Linked DNA regions of Oryzias latipes. The protein of the gene in region 1 purifies or fractionates together with the protein of each later gene. This does not show direct contact. Links are inferred from orthologs where the notes say so. Each region holds a gene or a part of one and is shown on either strand. Other genes may lie near its edges. The genes, in order: gan and nudcd3.

Region 1 (4,401 bases):
ATGGGAAAAGAGAAAAGAACAAAATACAAATTCCTAGAATTAATAAGTGGACTTTTTTCTCATGTTAACCCATAGAAAGAAGAAAAACAGCTAAAAAAAAAGATAAATGATAAGCTAACAAAACAAAAATGCTTTCTCTTTATGGTACACAGCAGAAGTGACAGTAACAGACCTGCTGTCTCAGGTAGCTGATGTCCAAACCCTGCAGCCACACAGATGACATGACCTGCTTCATGTGGACCTGCAAACAAACCAAAACCTCACTTCCAGTGTATCCAAACCATACAACTCCATCAGCCACGAGGCAGAATCTGCTGAGTTTCCAAAGTTAGATTGCATTTTGGGAGATTTTCTAGTTTTAGTTCAGCAGAAAGTACATTTTTGCCATTTAACAACAGGTCTGAAGATTTTCACAAGTTTTTTGGGGGAGTTCTGTTTCTAAATTTCAACGTTTCCCTCTTTTTTAGTTTTTTCATAAGCAGGTAAAACATGGAGAGGTAGTGGGTTTACACACCCTGCGCTCATCAGGGTCGTGGGCGAACCACCGCACCACAGCCTCCAGAACATGCTTCTCGTTGCCCACGTTGAGCTTCTCCATGGCCAGCAGCTCGCACAGGCGCTCCGGAGGCAGCTCCCTGAACTCTTCTGTGAGCTCCACGTCCCTGAAGTGGGTCTGCAGGAACTCGGTGGCGACGTGGTGGACGTGGTGCAGACAGTAGTGCAGAGAGAAGAGGCGGATGCCAATGCAGTTCTCTGCAGTGATGCAGCTCTCCAAGAACTGGCAGCACAAGGCCTTCAGGTCGGTCATGAGAAGCATGTCTGACGCCTGAACCATGTCCTGGATGGTTTCCTCACTCAGGGTAATCTGACAGCAGAGAGCACAGAAATGAAGACCCCAAAACATGAACCTTCACAGAGAGAAGAGCGACGCTCCGGGACTCACCTCACCGCTGAAGATGAAATCTAGGATTTGTTTCATGGTGGCCATGGAAACCCCCTGCAGCTCGATTCTGTACGTGGAGCCGTCTCCTTTCGGTGGGTTATAGTTCAGCTTGGTCCTTGAAAGAAAAGAAAAAAAAAAAACAACACATCAGAAAACAAACTATTTTGCACAACTTTGGGATTTTCTGGTAACAAAAATAAAGAAAAATTATACACAAATCAAATGTAGAACTGCCAAAAAAATGTATTTTATTTAAAAAATAAAAAACACGAAAACAGTAAAGGTGTCATTTAATAAATAAACGACAAAGAAATGTAAGTTTGAGTTGTTTCTTTTAGATTAATATATGTGTTTATATATATATATATATTGCATATGTGAAATGCTGTTTTGCTCTATGTTCTGTTTTCTTTTCTTTTTTTTTCTTTTTTAACAAGTCTCTCCTAAACATGTGTGTGTTCCTGATTTTAGAATAATGATTTAATCAACAAAAAATAGAGGCACAGCCCCCAAAACAAAACCAAAACAAATACACAACACGACTACATTTAGTCCTTATTATTTCTTTTGCGTCTATATAAAAAGGAGAGATATTCATGTGCAAGGAACCAAAAACAGTATTTAATGTTATGCCAAATGTAGATTTTTGGGTTTGGGAAAACTATCATATTCTCTATGTACTTTTAAGACCCTTTCAGGCCTTTTCAAATGAAACTTAAACCCCATTTCAAAGTTTGCTTCACAGCTAACGGACAAAAGCTGCAGCAAGCCTCCATGGCAGCAAGCCTGCTTGTTTGCCACCTGTCCATTGTACACCTTTGAGGGATCTGTTTCACAGGTAGATTTTAAGGTCACAAGGTCAAAAGTTGGTTCCAACTTTGTGGGCCAGAAATGGATGAAAATAAAACAGATGGGAAATATTTTCTTTATGGTTTGGACAATTTGCAGTTTTCAACACAACATGTATCACCATATCCTGTCACATCAACTAATACAACTGAAATATGTAACTGATTGTAGGTTTATGACTATGATACTATTTGGGACACACCTTGATGGTCTTAACATGGATCCTTGAGGAACTCCTTTAGCGAGACAAAAGTTGCTAAAAGCAGCAGTGACTACTACTCCTGGACTAACATGTTTTCCCACTGCAGACTGAAAAATGTCAACACACAACCGGCTTTAGCCTGCAAGAACACAAAGTCATCACAGGCATCTGAAGGCGGACTCACCTGGGAACCATCAAAGTCTGTCCCACCCACGTCCCTCCCTGTGTGACCTTACCTGATGTAAGGGCTGGCAGCAGCCAGGATGTTCTTCTGCACCGGAAGCTCCTCTCCATCAACAACCAGCACCGCATCATGGAAGCTTTTCTCCTCCCAGAAGGTCCGGAGGACTCGCAGCAGCTTCTGGGAGTGTTGCGGGTCCGAAACCCTGGCGCCGGGATCACTGCACGCAGAGTTGGGCATGTCTCGGCACGTGACAGCCCGAAGCACGAGCCACTCCTCGCTGTCAACAAGTTCTTTAATGAGTCGCTACGGAGCCGAATTAAGGGTTGAATTAGGACTCTTGGTGGAAAATAAACTGCAGTATTAGTGTGCCATAGTGACGCACGGAGTCGAAACGTCTAAAAATGGCGACTTTTTCAATAAGTTTTGGCTAGCACAGCTAAGCTAGCAGCAATGGAAATGTGGGGGAAAATCTTCTGACAACAGCAGCATTACATTTAAACGTAGTATACAAATCCACAGGATTAACAAGATATTGGGTTAGCAGCGTAACCTTACTGATAAACAGGTAAATCAAATGGCAGGACTGCCTTCGGCGCTGCGTGTTACAGTTAAATTAAAGTACTATACTTTTTGAAATTGATGGTAAAAATGCCTTACCTGAAGAAACTTCTTTTAAAATAAAGTTAAAGGTTTTCCCCGTCTTTTGTGCAAAGCACAACCCAGAAGAACACGAAGATCTCTTCAGGCAAGAATTTAGCAAGTAGACGTTAAAAAAGGCATGTCTTTTGTTGCTTTCAATGACACACGGTAAACTTGAAATTTCCTTTTACATTTATGGATTGCACTTTCACGAACACACAACCTCAGTAAAATCGTTTGGACCTAGATTTTAATTGCGAAAAATTAGATTTTAAGGCGCATTCACAGTTATGTGTACATCTTTATTTATAAATGTTAACATTTCAAACTTAGTAGATTGGCTGTTCCTTTTTTACTATGACACGTAAACGTATCATCAGGTAGGATGGGGAGTGCGATAGATGCCGCAATCCAATAAGATAAACCTTTTTTCCTTTTTTCGAATAAATAAAAGTAACGAGAAAGTAACCGGTCACATTGGCATTACCATTAGATGTTTGTAATTCCAATGCTTCTTTTACGTACTGCAAAATAAAACACAAAATAGTTTTTTTTTTTTTTATAATTGTATAATAACGGACAATTCCAGATTGTGATTGGTGTAAGTTAACACATAATTTGTAATGGTTGCCATACATTTTTCTTGACCTAACCATAGACATATATATTAGGTCCTCCTGACTGCCGCATGATACGTCTATGCTGACTGCTGTGCTTTTATTTTGAAGGAAGCATCATGTTTGGTATAAATCCATAAATAGGACAATAAAATAATTTCTAACTGGGGGAAAACGTTATCAGAAGAGTGGTTTTTAAAAGGTTTGATTTTTCCTATTTTAGCTTTAATTTCCACCCTCTAAACTTTTGTTTTAGGAACGAAATCTTCTAAAACATAATAATATTTTAGGAATTAAAATTCTAAAAACTATCGCATATGAGTTGTTTTCTTCTCAAAATGCATCAACAGAAAATAAAAAAATGTAGCGGTTTATAAACGAGCTAGTGTTTTCACTTCCGGTGGACCAATTGAGAAACAGGAAGTATCACTCTGCGCAGCTGTGTTCCAGCCGGAAGTGGACGGTAGGCGCATAGTTTGAACCACAGATATGCTTCATCAATATGGTCCCAGTAGGCTCACGCCGTGGATAGAGAGTCTGATCCTGAGCTACGGCGGCCCTGAGGATGGTAGACGTGGCCGGCTGAAGGCTCACGTCATCGGGCTGGATCAGATGACTCAGTCCCAGGCGCGCGGATGCGAAGGCCCCACGGAGCTCCTGGTTCTGTCAGACGGGCTGATCTGGATTCCGGCCGTGCTCACCGCCTCGGCCTGGGAGAATCTGCAGGAGCGGGAAGACCGGGAGTACTTTAACGGCATGATCAACTCCACGGTGCTCATCCAGGACTACCGGCTGCAGTTTCACATGGACACAGAACAGAATAAATGCTGGTTCTACCTATCTGTGGGAGAGCTGGGCACCATCGCAGCCGGTCCGGTTAAAGAGCTCACCCCCTGCTACACGAGCCTCTCCTCCGTCAGGATGAAGATCCGTGAAACCTGGCAGAGCCTTCTGGTTCAGGAGAACT
Region 2 (4,265 bases), on another chromosome or scaffold:
TTATTTCTGTTTTTCCCCTCAATTTTCAGAAATGCACAAAGAAGCAGCTTTTACTCTTTGATTGGTGTCTGTGGATTTCACAGAGTGACCACTAGGGGACGTTTTGAACACGAGTCAGTTTTGACACATTTTCACATAAAAACTTTTCAAAGTTTCCAAGAAATAAAACAACAAAATCTTAAAATCCTTAACCTCCATTGTGTTACAGAATGCGTTCACTTTTCCACATTTACAGAAATCTTCAATCCTGATCAGATCTTTGTTTTCTTTCTATAAAACTAAACTTCTTTTTCTACGAATGTTTGAATTTTGTCAGTTTGAAGGAGAGAAAAGTGTGAAAATGTTTGTCTGAGAAAAGTCTAGAAAGTGAGTTTTAAAACATCCGTCCCGTAGTTTTAGAACGTTTACGATAAACGAGGGAACACGATTACAAGTCATAATCGTGTGCTAATGGGGGTGTGGTCTGTTGATTGACAGGCGACTTGCAGCAGAACACCTCTACCGGCATTACAACAGTTGTCGAGCCGTGTGTGTCGCTTATGCATTAATTCTGCTTTTGTTTACTGATGTTGATTGTTGTTGATTTCCTGAGGAACATGGCGCTCTGTCAGAATGTCAATTTTTGTAACAAGTTGAAAAAACGGTTGGGTTTATGGTAAATACGTTACTATAGCATGTCTGTGTTATTACAAAAGTTGGGATTTAGCGTAGTCAGGGTGACGTTTTATTTTACCAGTAACAGTTTTACGTGTCCCAAACATGGTTGGCAGTTTTTAACTATGCTTACGTGGCTAACATGACTAACGCGGCTAATGTGGCTAACGCAGGTAACGCGGCCAATGGGGCTAACGTGGTTAATGTGGTTAACACGGCTGATGTGGCTAACTCAGATAATGTGGCTAATGCGGCTAACATGGCAAACATAGCTTACGTAGCTAACGCGGCATACGTTGCCAATGCGGCTGACATGACTAAGCTGGCTTACGCTGCTAATGTGGCTAACATGGCAAACGTGGCTTATGCGGCTAAAGTGGCTTAAACAGCAATAACACGCGTTGTGTAATACAACTAAGGTCCAGAATGTCTTTCGTCTCACATGATGCACCGGTTGTTTAATGCGTCTTATTTACTACGTAACTTTGGAAATAACGTTTTTAATTTTGTTCCTACGCTCTTATATTTAGCTAGTTTAGCATCTTTCTACCTTAGTGCCCATGAGCCTTTTTTTAAACGATCCTCGCGTTTCTATTCCGTGAGTTCTTCTGTTGGGCTCAGCACCGATTGGCTGTTCCGATGAAAGCGTTGATCTAAAGTCCCGCCCCTCGCGCCCAGCTGCTTCCTCACCATTTCGTGGCTCTGCGGTTTGCCCTGCAGCTTCTGGTGGTAGTCGAACGTCAGCCTGTCCAGGACGGCGTGTTCCTCCTCGTCCACCGTCGCCATGGAGCGCTCGCGGTTGATCCGGTTGATGTCGATCTCCTCCTCCCCCTTCAGCACCGCGTTCCACCAGGTCTCGGAGGTCTTGCTGAGCGACAGCTGCGAGTCACAAACACCCACATGAGCCCGGAGAGAGCGCTCTTTCCTGGTGAACAGGGCCCGGTTCTGTCCCGGTTCTCACCACGACACACTTCCCGGGCTCCAGGCTCCACAGGGAGTTCTCCGTGTTGATCTTGTGCGTGAATTCCCCCTCCATCAGAGTTCTCTCCTCGCCGCCGTCCTTCGTGGACACTCTGATGCCGCTGGGCTGCAGACTGACGCTGACCTGCAGACACGCCCCCGTCAGCGCCGGATTGCCGACCTCCTGGCGGCGCAGCGGCTCGGACTCACCTGTCGGCCTCTCACCACCGTCTTCGGCACGAAGACCCGGACCTCCACGTCCGTGTAGTCCTGAGACCAGCTGTAGTTCTCCCTCTGTGCTCCGTTGTAGCTGTCGGGGTTGGCCTGAAACATGTCCTGGTTCCTGAAAAACAAACCCGTCAGGAGGCGGGCCCGTCCAGGAAGCTCCTCCTCCTCTGCGCCGGATGCTCACCCTTCTCCCGCCGCCGCCGCTTCATCTCCTTGAGACGACGGAGCTCCTCTGCCGCTGGGGGCCGCAGCCTCACCGGCAGCAGCCGCAGCGTCTGGAGCCTCGCTGGCGGCGCTCTCCGGTTGTGGCGCCTCCACGCTGCTCCTCTCCTCTGCCTTTGGGGGCTCAGAGGAGACCTGCAGCTCCTGGACTGCAGGAGGAACGCCGCGGCTCTCCTCCGCGTTCTGCAGCTGGCTCAGCGCCCTCTGCCGGTCCTGATCCGCCATCTGCTCGAACAGCCTAAACGTCTGCGGACAAAAGAAAGTCTGCCGTGGGATCCAGAAACCAGTTGGAGCTCAGAAGGAGTTTGGAGAACCAGAGGCACTGGTTCCACTGAAACCAGCTCAGTAGAAAGAGGCGTCTGGGGTTTTGAGCGGCAGGAGAGATGACGGGGCCCCTGCAGTCAGGTTTGCCCAGGGCCCCTAAACATTTTTTAAACGGTCCTGAAACACGCTGGGGATGTGTTTTTAGAGTGTAGATATTATTATCTGTGGCGCATCTCTACAAGAACCCAAACCAGAACACGAATCTAAACAAGATCTGAAACTTTGGTTCGTTCGCGGCAAACGCTCGGAAGGAAGGCACGCGCCACGCCGCGAGCGCCTTTACAAAACTTCACCTTCAGCACCATCTTCTCTGCGACTCCAGGAGGGAAGCCCATCCTGTCGTCGGGACCGGACAGCAGTCGATAAAAGTCCGTCTTTCTGTACAAAAACCCAAAGTAGACCCTCAGGAAGTCCTGAATGTTTCCGACGTGTTGCAGGATCCCCAGCAGAGCGTTGTCGTACATTTCCGTCATCTCCAGCGGCGACGCCATCGCGGCTGCGAGCGCGAGCCCTTTTCCGAAATGACCCGAGTGACCAAAACCACGAACGACAGTGTATAAATGAGGCCGGTTTGTTTTGTCTCTCTGATTACGGTTGTCTTTTTCCAGAACAATGACGCAGTTTCCGGTACCACCATGTCAAAATAAGAGCACACCAGTCGTTTTGTTTGTTTTTTTAGCTTGCTTTTCGTCGAAATCATCTTGAAGCAAGCTAATTTACAAATTAGAGAGCCCACTTAAATATGCACCAATTTAATTTTATTTATTCATTGAAATCAAGCGCAAAACAACAACAACAAAATACTGTAAAAAATGATTTATTTCCGTTCCAGCTACATAAACGCTCCCTAAGAAACAACATAAAAACAAACGGTCATAAAAACATAAAAAGGGCTGTTTTGATCGACACTTTTAGTTTGGAAGTTGTTTTTAATATAAAGCATGCGTTTTTGTTGTTCTTTTTAAATAAAAACGTTGTTATAAAACAACATAGATTAAGGACAATAGTAGTTCCGCTTCAGACGGTACAAGAAAACATGGCCGCGTCCTTCAGCTGCGGCGGGAGGCTGCTGGTGAGACAACAAAATGAACATTTATTAACATCTAAGACATTTTATTTTATCGAAAACGTCTTTTCTTAAAAATAATGATGACGTCTCAGAAACGATGATATTCTGGTTACGAACGAGAAGCTTTTCTGTGAGAAATGTTGGCCTGCCGAGAACGAAGAGACGATTAACTTCTTTAAAGACTTTTTCCCCCCATAAATCAATGCGTGTCTGTAATCCAAGTGAGCTAAAGCCACGATTTAATCCGGAAAGGTTTTCAGCATTTGAAGAAAACCCATTGGTTTCAGGATCCACCGACAGAGGGCGCTGCATTCAAATGACACTAAATCTATCTAAAGATCTCGTTTCAGTTAATAACCTCTCAGTGTTTCTCAACATTTGGAAGTAGAGCAGACCTGCATGTGAGGATCTGAGGGCTCTAAGAGGTTCAAAAAAGTATTTTGGATCCATTTAGACATTTATAAACGAAGGAACTAGTTTTAAATCAACTCTGAAAGCTGATGGGTTGATTTAAAAATCAGACGTGTTTCTCCTTCTTTCTTGAACAACAAGCTGAAGTTTATTTCTGTCTTAAAGACTCGACAACAGGTAGTTTTAGATGGAACGGAGGCAAAAACTTCTGCACTGATGGCTCAGATTAGGTCCAGATCTGTTCGTCCAGACTTTCATATGAACTTTCATTCATATGTTTGTATCTGAGAGTGAAAAGTCATCATTGGTTCTTCAACTCCCAAACTAAAGACCATTATTCCATTTCTCTGCGAGCTCTAATAGTTCACCTTTCAAATCAGAAATAAAACCAAAGGAA

The links.
Region 2: the proteins of gan (region 1) and nudcd3 purify together in Homo sapiens (co-immunoprecipitation; 3 studies listed by BioGRID and IntAct, counting the BioPlex papers as one, with this or other methods). This does not show direct contact. The link is inferred for Oryzias latipes from reciprocal best matches to the Homo sapiens genes GAN and NUDCD3.

What each region holds. Positions count from the first base shown.
Region 1 is NC_019864.2:26,282,372-26,286,772, forward strand, and holds the start of gan (gigaxonin), read right to left. Parts: upstream 2,985-4,401; 5' UTR 2,836-2,984; intron 2,482-2,835; exon of another isoform or gene 2,456-2,481; 5' UTR 2,416-2,455; coding exon 2,231-2,415; intron 1,059-2,230; coding exon 944-1,058; intron 866-943; coding exon 515-865; intron 242-514; coding exon 173-241; intron 1-172. Other genes in the region: uncharacterized protein LOC105354257, read left to right, coding at 3,924-4,401. UniProt on the Homo sapiens protein: Probable cytoskeletal component that directly or indirectly plays an important role in neurofilament architecture.
Region 2 is NC_019870.2:1,857,097-1,861,361, reverse strand, and holds the start of nudcd3 (nudC domain-containing protein 3), read right to left. Parts: upstream 3,015-4,265; 5' UTR 2,880-3,014; coding exon 2,682-2,879; intron 2,311-2,681; coding exon 2,027-2,310; intron 1,958-2,026; coding exon 1,825-1,957; intron 1,760-1,824; coding exon 1,616-1,759; intron 1,534-1,615; coding exon 1,345-1,533; intron 1-1,344. Other genes in the region: mrps24 (28S ribosomal protein S24, mitochondrial), read left to right, coding at 3,425-3,460.